Linked DNA regions of Sus scrofa. Each later gene encodes a partner of the first gene's protein in a complex. Links are inferred from orthologs where the notes say so. Each region holds a gene or a part of one and is shown on either strand. Other genes may lie near its edges. The genes, in order: KATNB1 and KATNA1.

What was found.
Region 2: the proteins of KATNB1 (region 1) and KATNA1 are in contact, whole or in part, in a crystal structure (PDB 5OW5), measured with the Mus musculus proteins. The link is inferred for Sus scrofa from reciprocal best matches to the Homo sapiens genes KATNB1 and KATNA1. Residues at the interface, in NP_083081.2 of Mus musculus: Leu485, Val486, Asp487, Glu488, Ala490, Met491, Gln493, Ile494, Arg495, Gly497, His498, Met501, Phe502, Val504, Leu505, Thr506, Arg508, His509, Leu512, Asp513, Val515, Arg516, Trp519, Thr521, Asp542, Leu543, Ile546, Gln549, Lys550, Leu553; in NP_035965.2 of Mus musculus: Leu5, Gln6, Ile8, Val9, Val12, Arg16, Ala19, Leu20, Leu21, Gly22, Tyr24, Tyr31, Tyr41, Leu50, Lys53, Trp54, Gln56, Val57, Glu60, Ile61, Val63, Glu64, Gln67, Val68, Asp70, Ile71, Thr74, Leu75, Ser77, Phe78.

The regions. Positions count from the first base shown.
Region 1 is NC_010448.4:19,633,194-19,637,001, reverse strand, and holds part of KATNB1 (katanin p80 WD40 repeat-containing subunit B1), read right to left. Parts: intron 547-3,808; coding exon 416-546; intron 1-415.
Region 2 is NC_010443.5:16,340,813-16,344,620, reverse strand, and holds part of KATNA1 (katanin p60 ATPase-containing subunit A1), read right to left. Parts: intron 3,088-3,808; coding exon 2,907-3,087; intron 1-2,906. UniProt on the Homo sapiens protein: Catalytic subunit of a complex which severs microtubules in an ATP-dependent manner. Microtubule severing may promote rapid reorganization of cellular microtubule arrays and the release of microtubules from the centrosome following nucleation.

The DNA.
Region 1 (3,808 bases):
ACCAGCTCCAACCAGGGGCCTTCAAATCCTTTTCCGTGGGAGGAGGTGGGGAATGAATCCAAATGGCCCAACTGAATCTGACAGCAGGGGGATGGGCCAGTGGGCAGGGGAGGCTCAAACTCGGGCCTGTGGGCTTCTTTTCGCTTTCTCACACAGGCTCCCTAGAGTTCTGTCCCGCGGCCAGGCGACCCCCTGATTTCTGAGGACCAGCCACTGTCCCAGCCAGCCGCGCTGTCCTGGGCTTTCCTAAGCAGACGGCTGGGGGAGGGACTGAGGTGCTGGGTGCCCGAAAAGCAGCCCACTCCCAGCCCTAACCCTGCCCACAGCTGCCCCCAAGCCCCGCCCCGCCCCGCCCCGCCCACAGCTCCCCGCCCCGCCCACAGCTCCCCGCCCCGCCCCGCCGGCCCAGCCTCACCATGATGCAGTTGGGCTTGTTGACAGACCACAGGTTGACCCGGCAGTCATCCCCGCCGGTGGCCAGCAGCCGGCCTGAGGCTTTGCCCAGCACCAGCGAGGACACATTGCTGGCGTGGGCCACGATCTCCTCTACACAGGAAAGAGCAGAGGGAAAACGCAGTCAGAGGCCTGACGGACCACACGGAGGAGGGCTGCCCTCCCGCTGGGCACCACCAGCCCTGGCATCTGAAGTCCCTGCAGCTCTCCTTTTGGTGCCAGACACCCCTCTTGAGCTGTGGGACAAGATGGGGCTGGGGTCTGAGATAGAAATGACTATTTCTCAGTTTCCATCATTTTCATCCCACCCTTAGACCTCAGGGTTTTTTTTCCTTGTTGCCACATATCAACAGGTACTACTGCTGACTAGTCACCACATTCAATTTTTTAAAATGACTTGCTCTTTCTACTTAGCTCTGCCTTTTAGGCAATAATAGCCACATAATTACAAGTTCAATATGTTCGTTACATTTTTTTCTGAGACGAAAAGAAAGATGAAAACAATTATTAAAATAAAAAACACTGACCTATGTGCCCCCAAAGTGCCTCTCAGCTGTTGCTCGCTGTTTCCGCTTGGGGGGACACACTTTCAGAACCATGCAACTGCAGACAAACTGTCCAAGGTGAGCTCAGCCAGAACAGCTTCAGAGTTATGGACCGGGTTCTAGTCTGAGCTCTGCTATTGCAGGCTGTGTGGCCTTAAACAAGTCACTCACCCTCTCTAGGCACTGAGCTCCTCGATGGGTAAATGGGGATAATAATAGTGCCTGGATCAACAGGCTGCTGAGGGTGTAGTGAGGACGGGCCTGGGAGCTGCTGTGAGGGGGCTGAGTGCCCGTGGCTGCTAGGCAGGCTGAGGCCATAGAGCGGGCACTGGGCTCAGGGGGGTGGGCTGTGAGAGGGGAGCAGGAGGGAGCCGACTGGGGGGCCTGGATGTGAGGGCCAACGAGACAGAATGGGAGGCAAGGTCACCACGGGCAGCCACGAGGGCCCGTGGCCTGGACTAGGGGGCTGCAGACCTAAGTCTCAGAGGGCATCACCAGGGCCCCAAGGGAACAAACCGCGGGCAAGGAACCAAGAGGCAGCCCAGGCCTCCAGCCACAGCCTGAGCAGCTCCTCCTGAGAACATGGAGGGAAGAAACAGGTCTCCTCACAGAGACGAGGGAAAACCCCAACACGCTGATGCCCCGAGGCAGGCAGCCGAGAGGCCCGACTGGGTGACTCCGAGGGATGACTCCAAGAGAGAGGGTGGCCCTGCAGAGGCCCCTCCTGCCTCCACCCAGCCTGGGGTCTCTGTGGCGCCGGCCTCAGACTGCAGGGAGGTTAGCAGACAGGGACCAGGAAGGCTGCTTGTCAGGCGGGATGGCTCACAGGGGCTGTCAGTACTGCCCAGGGGACCAGGCCTCAGGCTCAACCCCACCGACAACAGCCCAGGCACCCAGCCCCCGCAGGATGAGAGCTGGCAGCAGGCCCAAATGTAACCTGGGGCCTCAGGGACCCTGCCCCTGGAGGCGAGAAAGCTGGGTCTCTCTCCGGTCCGCTCCTCAGCCACAGAGCCCCCTGTCCTCTGGACACAGTGGCACAGATGCCTAGGTGCTCTGGGGCTCGGGCTGCAGACACTTGTCTGTTCAAGGGCTTCTGCTGGGCTAAACTGGCTGCCCAGCCCAGAGAAAGCATAAACCACCCCCCCCCCGAGCACTGTGTGCCCGGCCCGGGGGCCCCCTCCTCTTCTCTGGATGCTCCCTGCACACGCCGCCCTCTGTGTATGACCCACCTGGAGGCGTGACTGCCTGCCCACCCCAGCTCACACCCTTCCCAAGGAAAATTCTGGCTAGGCCGCACCACCCTGGGCCTCCTGAGAGCACTGCCACCCCGCTCTGTACCTCAGGACTTCTAACCCCTGGGGACAGCCATTCGTCCATATGTACATTTTCCCAGGTGCCGCTCTAGGCCTGGCGCCGAGGGACGGTGGGGAGGGAGAGTGATTAGGTTCCTGTCTTCACTCTACGGCCTGATCAGATGGTTCCCAGGACAGCACCCAGCTGGAAGAACCACAAACTTGAGGGCGAGCAGAATTTGGAGGCTGGGCCCTTTCCTAGAAGGGCTCAGACCACTTCCCTGCAAGCAGCCTGACCAGGGGACTGAAAGGAGCTCCTTGAAGGACTAGGGAGGGCGGAGGTGGGCACACCTCAGGCACCAGGCAGAGGAGGCCTTGGCACAGGGCACTGGCCCAAGAGCACCCCTTCTGGCCTGAAGGACCATACTCACCAATGGCCAGGACCGGGTACCGAATTTAAATGCCAACAAATAAAAAATCCTCACCACATCTACTGGCAAGCCAGGCTGATGGCTGCTGCTCTACCTTGTGTCACAGGCCCACGCCAGCTGCCCGGGCTCAGGTGGCACAAGCTGGGCCCTACATCCCAGCCACTGCTGGGGGAACACAGCATTCTGGCCAGAGACACTGAGCACTGGCAGAAGCTCAAACGGAAAGTGCGAAAGACTAGGCTTCACCCGGGCCTCATGCTGGCCAGACACCTTCTGATCCTCCCCAGATTCTAGAGCCACAAGGAGCCAGGGGTCATTCCGCCTTGGATTCTTCAGACAATTTATACCTGCGGAAACTGCCGTGCACATGAAACTGTCAGCAGATGCTCAATATGCCTGATCACATCACCTCCCACTTGAATGCTTTGATGGCTTGCTCTTGCCTTTCAGATAAAGCCAAAGCCTCAGAAGGGCCAGGGTCCTGTGGACATGTGTCCCTGAAGACCTTGCCAGCCTATGGGGCACCACATTCTCCACACTGCTACGTCACTGCCCATGGCCTCCTTTGAGACCTTCCATCGCACCAAGCTTCCTGCCTCAGGGCCTTTGCACAGGAGGCTCAGGCACAGCACTTCCCCATGCCCCACCCCCACATCTAGTTCACTGATTCAAAGCATTTGTTTCTGCTTAGAATCAGAAAAGGAGAAATGGCTGGGTGTGATTATCTCATTCCTGCCTATTGCTTTCCCCAGGCTCTGAGCCCCACAGCAGAGAGACCTTAGCTATTTTGCCCTCCCTCTGCCAGGTTCTCTCCTGGTTTCTCAGAAAAAACCAGCTGTTGAAGGTATAGACACATAACCCCAATAAATACAAAGCTGCTATGTCCAAAGTGCACCCTCCTTGGCAGCCCGTAAGAGGATTCTCCCAGAACCCTAGGGGCTGAGGAACAGTTTGCAAATGGCCCAATCCTCTTGTCATTTAAAATGAGGATGCCAAGGCCCAGGTTCTCAGAGTTAATAAGTGGAGAAGTCTTGTCCTGGCTTCTGAAAACAGCCCAAGGGCAGCTTACAGTAAAGGGTGACCTGTC
Region 2 (3,808 bases), on another chromosome or scaffold:
GCGCTGCTAAGAGTACAGAGATGAGGACTACAGCACTATGGTGAGAGGGACTCGAGGGAACTGATCATTCAAATGTACAAAGGCAAGTGACCTCCAGAAATGGAGAGGAGAGGGAATATGACGATGGCACAAAATCAAGAGCTAAATGCACATGTGGGAGTTCCCTGGTGGCCTACTGGCTAAGGATTTGGCACTGCCACTGCTGTGGCTCCGATTGGATCCCTGGCACAGAAACTTTCACATTCTGTGGGTGTAGCCAAAAAGAAAAAAGAAAAAGAAAGAAAAGAACAAGAAAAAGGAAGAGCTACATGCACATCTGTACTTTTATCAACACAGACAGTTGTGTTCAGAGGTGTCAGCTGGCTGGTTACTGGATGAGGTTCTCAAGCAGAATTACAGAGATTGCAAATTTAGAAAAAAGAACTTTGAGTAGGGGCTAATATAATGTTTTGAAGAGGAACAGATGGGCCACACTGGGGGCTTTACATTCGCTGTGACCCAGTTTCTCCTTTGCCCAGGTGGTGTGGAGTGGTCCTTTTGGTACTGCAAGTCTGACAAGTTATCCTGTACTTTAGCATTTCGCAGGGGACAGGGAAAGGTGGAAGCAGAAGCGACAGAAACTGAGTCCTTAGATTCCCACATGCTTCTGACTCCAAGGGAGTACAAGCCCTCAATTAATATTAATTAGCACTGAAAGCTTAGTTTTTAAATCTCTTTCCCATCAGTAGGAACCAGAGTTTCCTGGGGAAATGGGGGAAATACAGTAAGAGCCCGAAACATCCTATCGTGTCAGAAAATGAGGAGGTGCTCAGAGAACAGTGACTACAATTCAAAAAGACTTAAGATCCAGTTTCAAGAGGCTACTGCTCCTCAAATCTTGAACAATTTTAAGCATCAAAAAGACAGTGACAGACTTTAATTCAGTGAATAAAATAAGAATCCTTGAGTCCATAGTGATAAAATTAAATCAAGGAGAAGGGAGAGAACTCTTTCTTATGGTTCAATGTAAATTAATTAATGTAGGTGAGATAATGGCATTAGGAAATTATATTTCAACTATCAAAGGAATAACTGATTCAGGCAAGAATCACTGGAGGCTAGGACAAGTATGTGAAATTTTTTTTTTTTTTTTTGGTCTTTTTGTCTTTTTTTTGTCTTTTTTTTTTGTTGTTGTTGTTGTTGCTATTTCTTGGGCCGCTCCCGCGGCATATGGAGGTTCCCAGGCTAGGGGTTGAATCGGAGCTGTAGCCACCGGCCTACGCCAGAGCCACAGCAACGCGGGATCCGAGCCGTGTCTGCAACCTACACCACAGCTCACGGCAACGCCGGATCGTTAACCCACTGAGCAAGGGCAGGGACCGAACCCGCAACCTCATGGTTCCTAGTCGGATTCGTTAACCACTGCGCCACGACGGGAACTCCAGTATGTGAAATTTTAATGAGAGATAGGATATTTATATAATCATAAAGTATCTCCCCACAAATTACCATAAGGGGAAAAAGAGTAACTTTACCGTGGAGAGGCTTGGCAAACACCATCCTAACCAAGTGACCCAATTTATCATAAGCAATAGAACAAAGAAACATCCTGTGCTTCATTCATTACATGATAAACTCAGAAGAACAAAACTTCACTTCAGTGGTATTCTTGCCAAAAATGCACCACCTTAATCTAATCATGAGGAAACATCAGGCCAACCCAAATCAAGGAACATGCTACAAAATAACTCTTAAAACACTCGGACAAAAAAGATAAAGGCTGAGGAAATGTTCACACGAAAGAAGACTAAACACACGGATGACCAAATGTAACACATGCTTCTACAGTGGGTCCTGGGATGGAGGGGGCTGGTGAAAACTATAAATGACATTATTAGGATAACTGGCAAGAATTTTATGAAGGTCTGTGGATTAGATAACAGTTCTATATCAGTGTATTTTTGATCACGGCATTGAGTTTATGTGAAAGAATGCCTCAATACCTGGGAAATCAGCCCTAAAATATTTAAGGGTAAAAGGGCATGATATCCACAACTTTTTTTTTTTTTTTTTTTTTTGTCTTTTTTAGCCTGCACCTGCAGCATATGGAGGTTTCCAGGCTAGGGGTCGAATTGGAGCTGCAGCTGCCAGCCTACGCCACAGCCACAGCAGCACAGGATCCAAGCTGCATCTTCTACCTACATCACAGCTCACAGCAACACTGGATCCTTAACCCACTGAGTGAGGTCAGGGATCAAACCTGTGTCCTCATGGATGTTAGATTCGTTTCTGCTGAGCCATGAAAGGAACTCCTCCACAACTTACTCTTGATGCTTTTAGAAAAAAAAAGTATACGCAGAGAGAAAATGATAAAGCAAAAGGGGCTATTAACTAATAAAACTGGGTAAAGAGTATGTGGAAGTTCCTTATGCCATTCTTGCAACTTGTTTGCAAGACTGAAATTACATCAAGATAGAAAGTTACAGGAGTTCCCGTTGCAGCTTAGCAGAAACAAATCTGACTAGTATCCACAAGGACACAGGTTCAATCCCTGGCCTTGTTCAGTGGGTTAAGGATCTGGCATTGCCACGAGCTGTGGTGTAGGTCACAGATGTGGCTCGGATCTGGTGTTGCTGTGGCTGTGGCGCAGGCCAGCGGCTACAGCTCTGATTCGACCCCTAGCCTGGGAACCTCCATATATTGTGGGTACGGCCCTAAAAAGACCAGAAAGAAAAAAAAAGAAAGTTACAAAGAGCACCAAAAAATATTTGTTGAATGGTGAGTGGGAAGAATCCCAGCCTAGGTGGAGAATGGCTATGGCTTTACTATAGCAGCAGATATAATTACTAAAAATTATTAAAATTTGTTGTCTTCATTTTTAAGGATGACAAATAACTCTTTCACTTATGAAAATCAGTAACATTTACCTTTTCTTCCCTTCCTTTATTCTGTTCTTTCTTTTCCCGACAACGAACAGTTTTCCCTCTGTCATTGTGAAGACTGTGTGTAGATGGACGGTGACCTCTGACAGCCGTACTTGGACGATTACCGTGTGCTTTGGCGTCACTGTACTGAGGAGACTGACGTTTTCTAGGTCCTGGGGAGGGTCTAATCAAACACAAGATCATGAAAATCGTATCAGCTCTTGGAGTTGGTCCAACTGTAGGTGAACACACATAGTGTGTAAGTTAAGAGCCTATGAATTAAAGAAGCGAAGGCAATAAATGAACCCAAGAAGAAATGAAAAACCTGAGGTCACTGAAATCTAAGATCTAACATGATAGCAGACACAGCTGTCTGCAGGGCAGTATGGTTACATGGTGGAAATAGTGGAAGGCAAATGACCACCACCTCTCTTTTGAAAGGAGATAGCTGATATCCTTGGATATTGAGGATAAATGAAAAATTAGTCTGTTTCTTGGAAACTTCAAAGAGAGCAATAATCAGAGAAGAGAGTTTTATCAAAATACAGCATTAATCAGAATTCCCTGATGGCTCAGCGGGTTAAGGATCCAGCATTGTCACTGCTGTGGCTCTGGTTACAGCTGTGGCACAGGTTTGATCCCTGGTCCCAGGGAACTTGTGGATGCCAGAAGTGTGGCCAAAAACACCAAGAGCAGCAATACACAACTTGACCTATCTATTATTAGTTCTACTCTGAAATTAAGAAAATGTAATCATAGCAGTTCCCACTGTGGCATAGTGGGTTAAGGATCCAGCATTGTCTCTGCAGCAGCATGGGTCACTGCTGAGGTGTGGGCTTGATCCCCAGCCTAGCACAATGGGTTAAGGGTCTGGCATTGCTGCAGCTATGGCTCAGATTCGATCC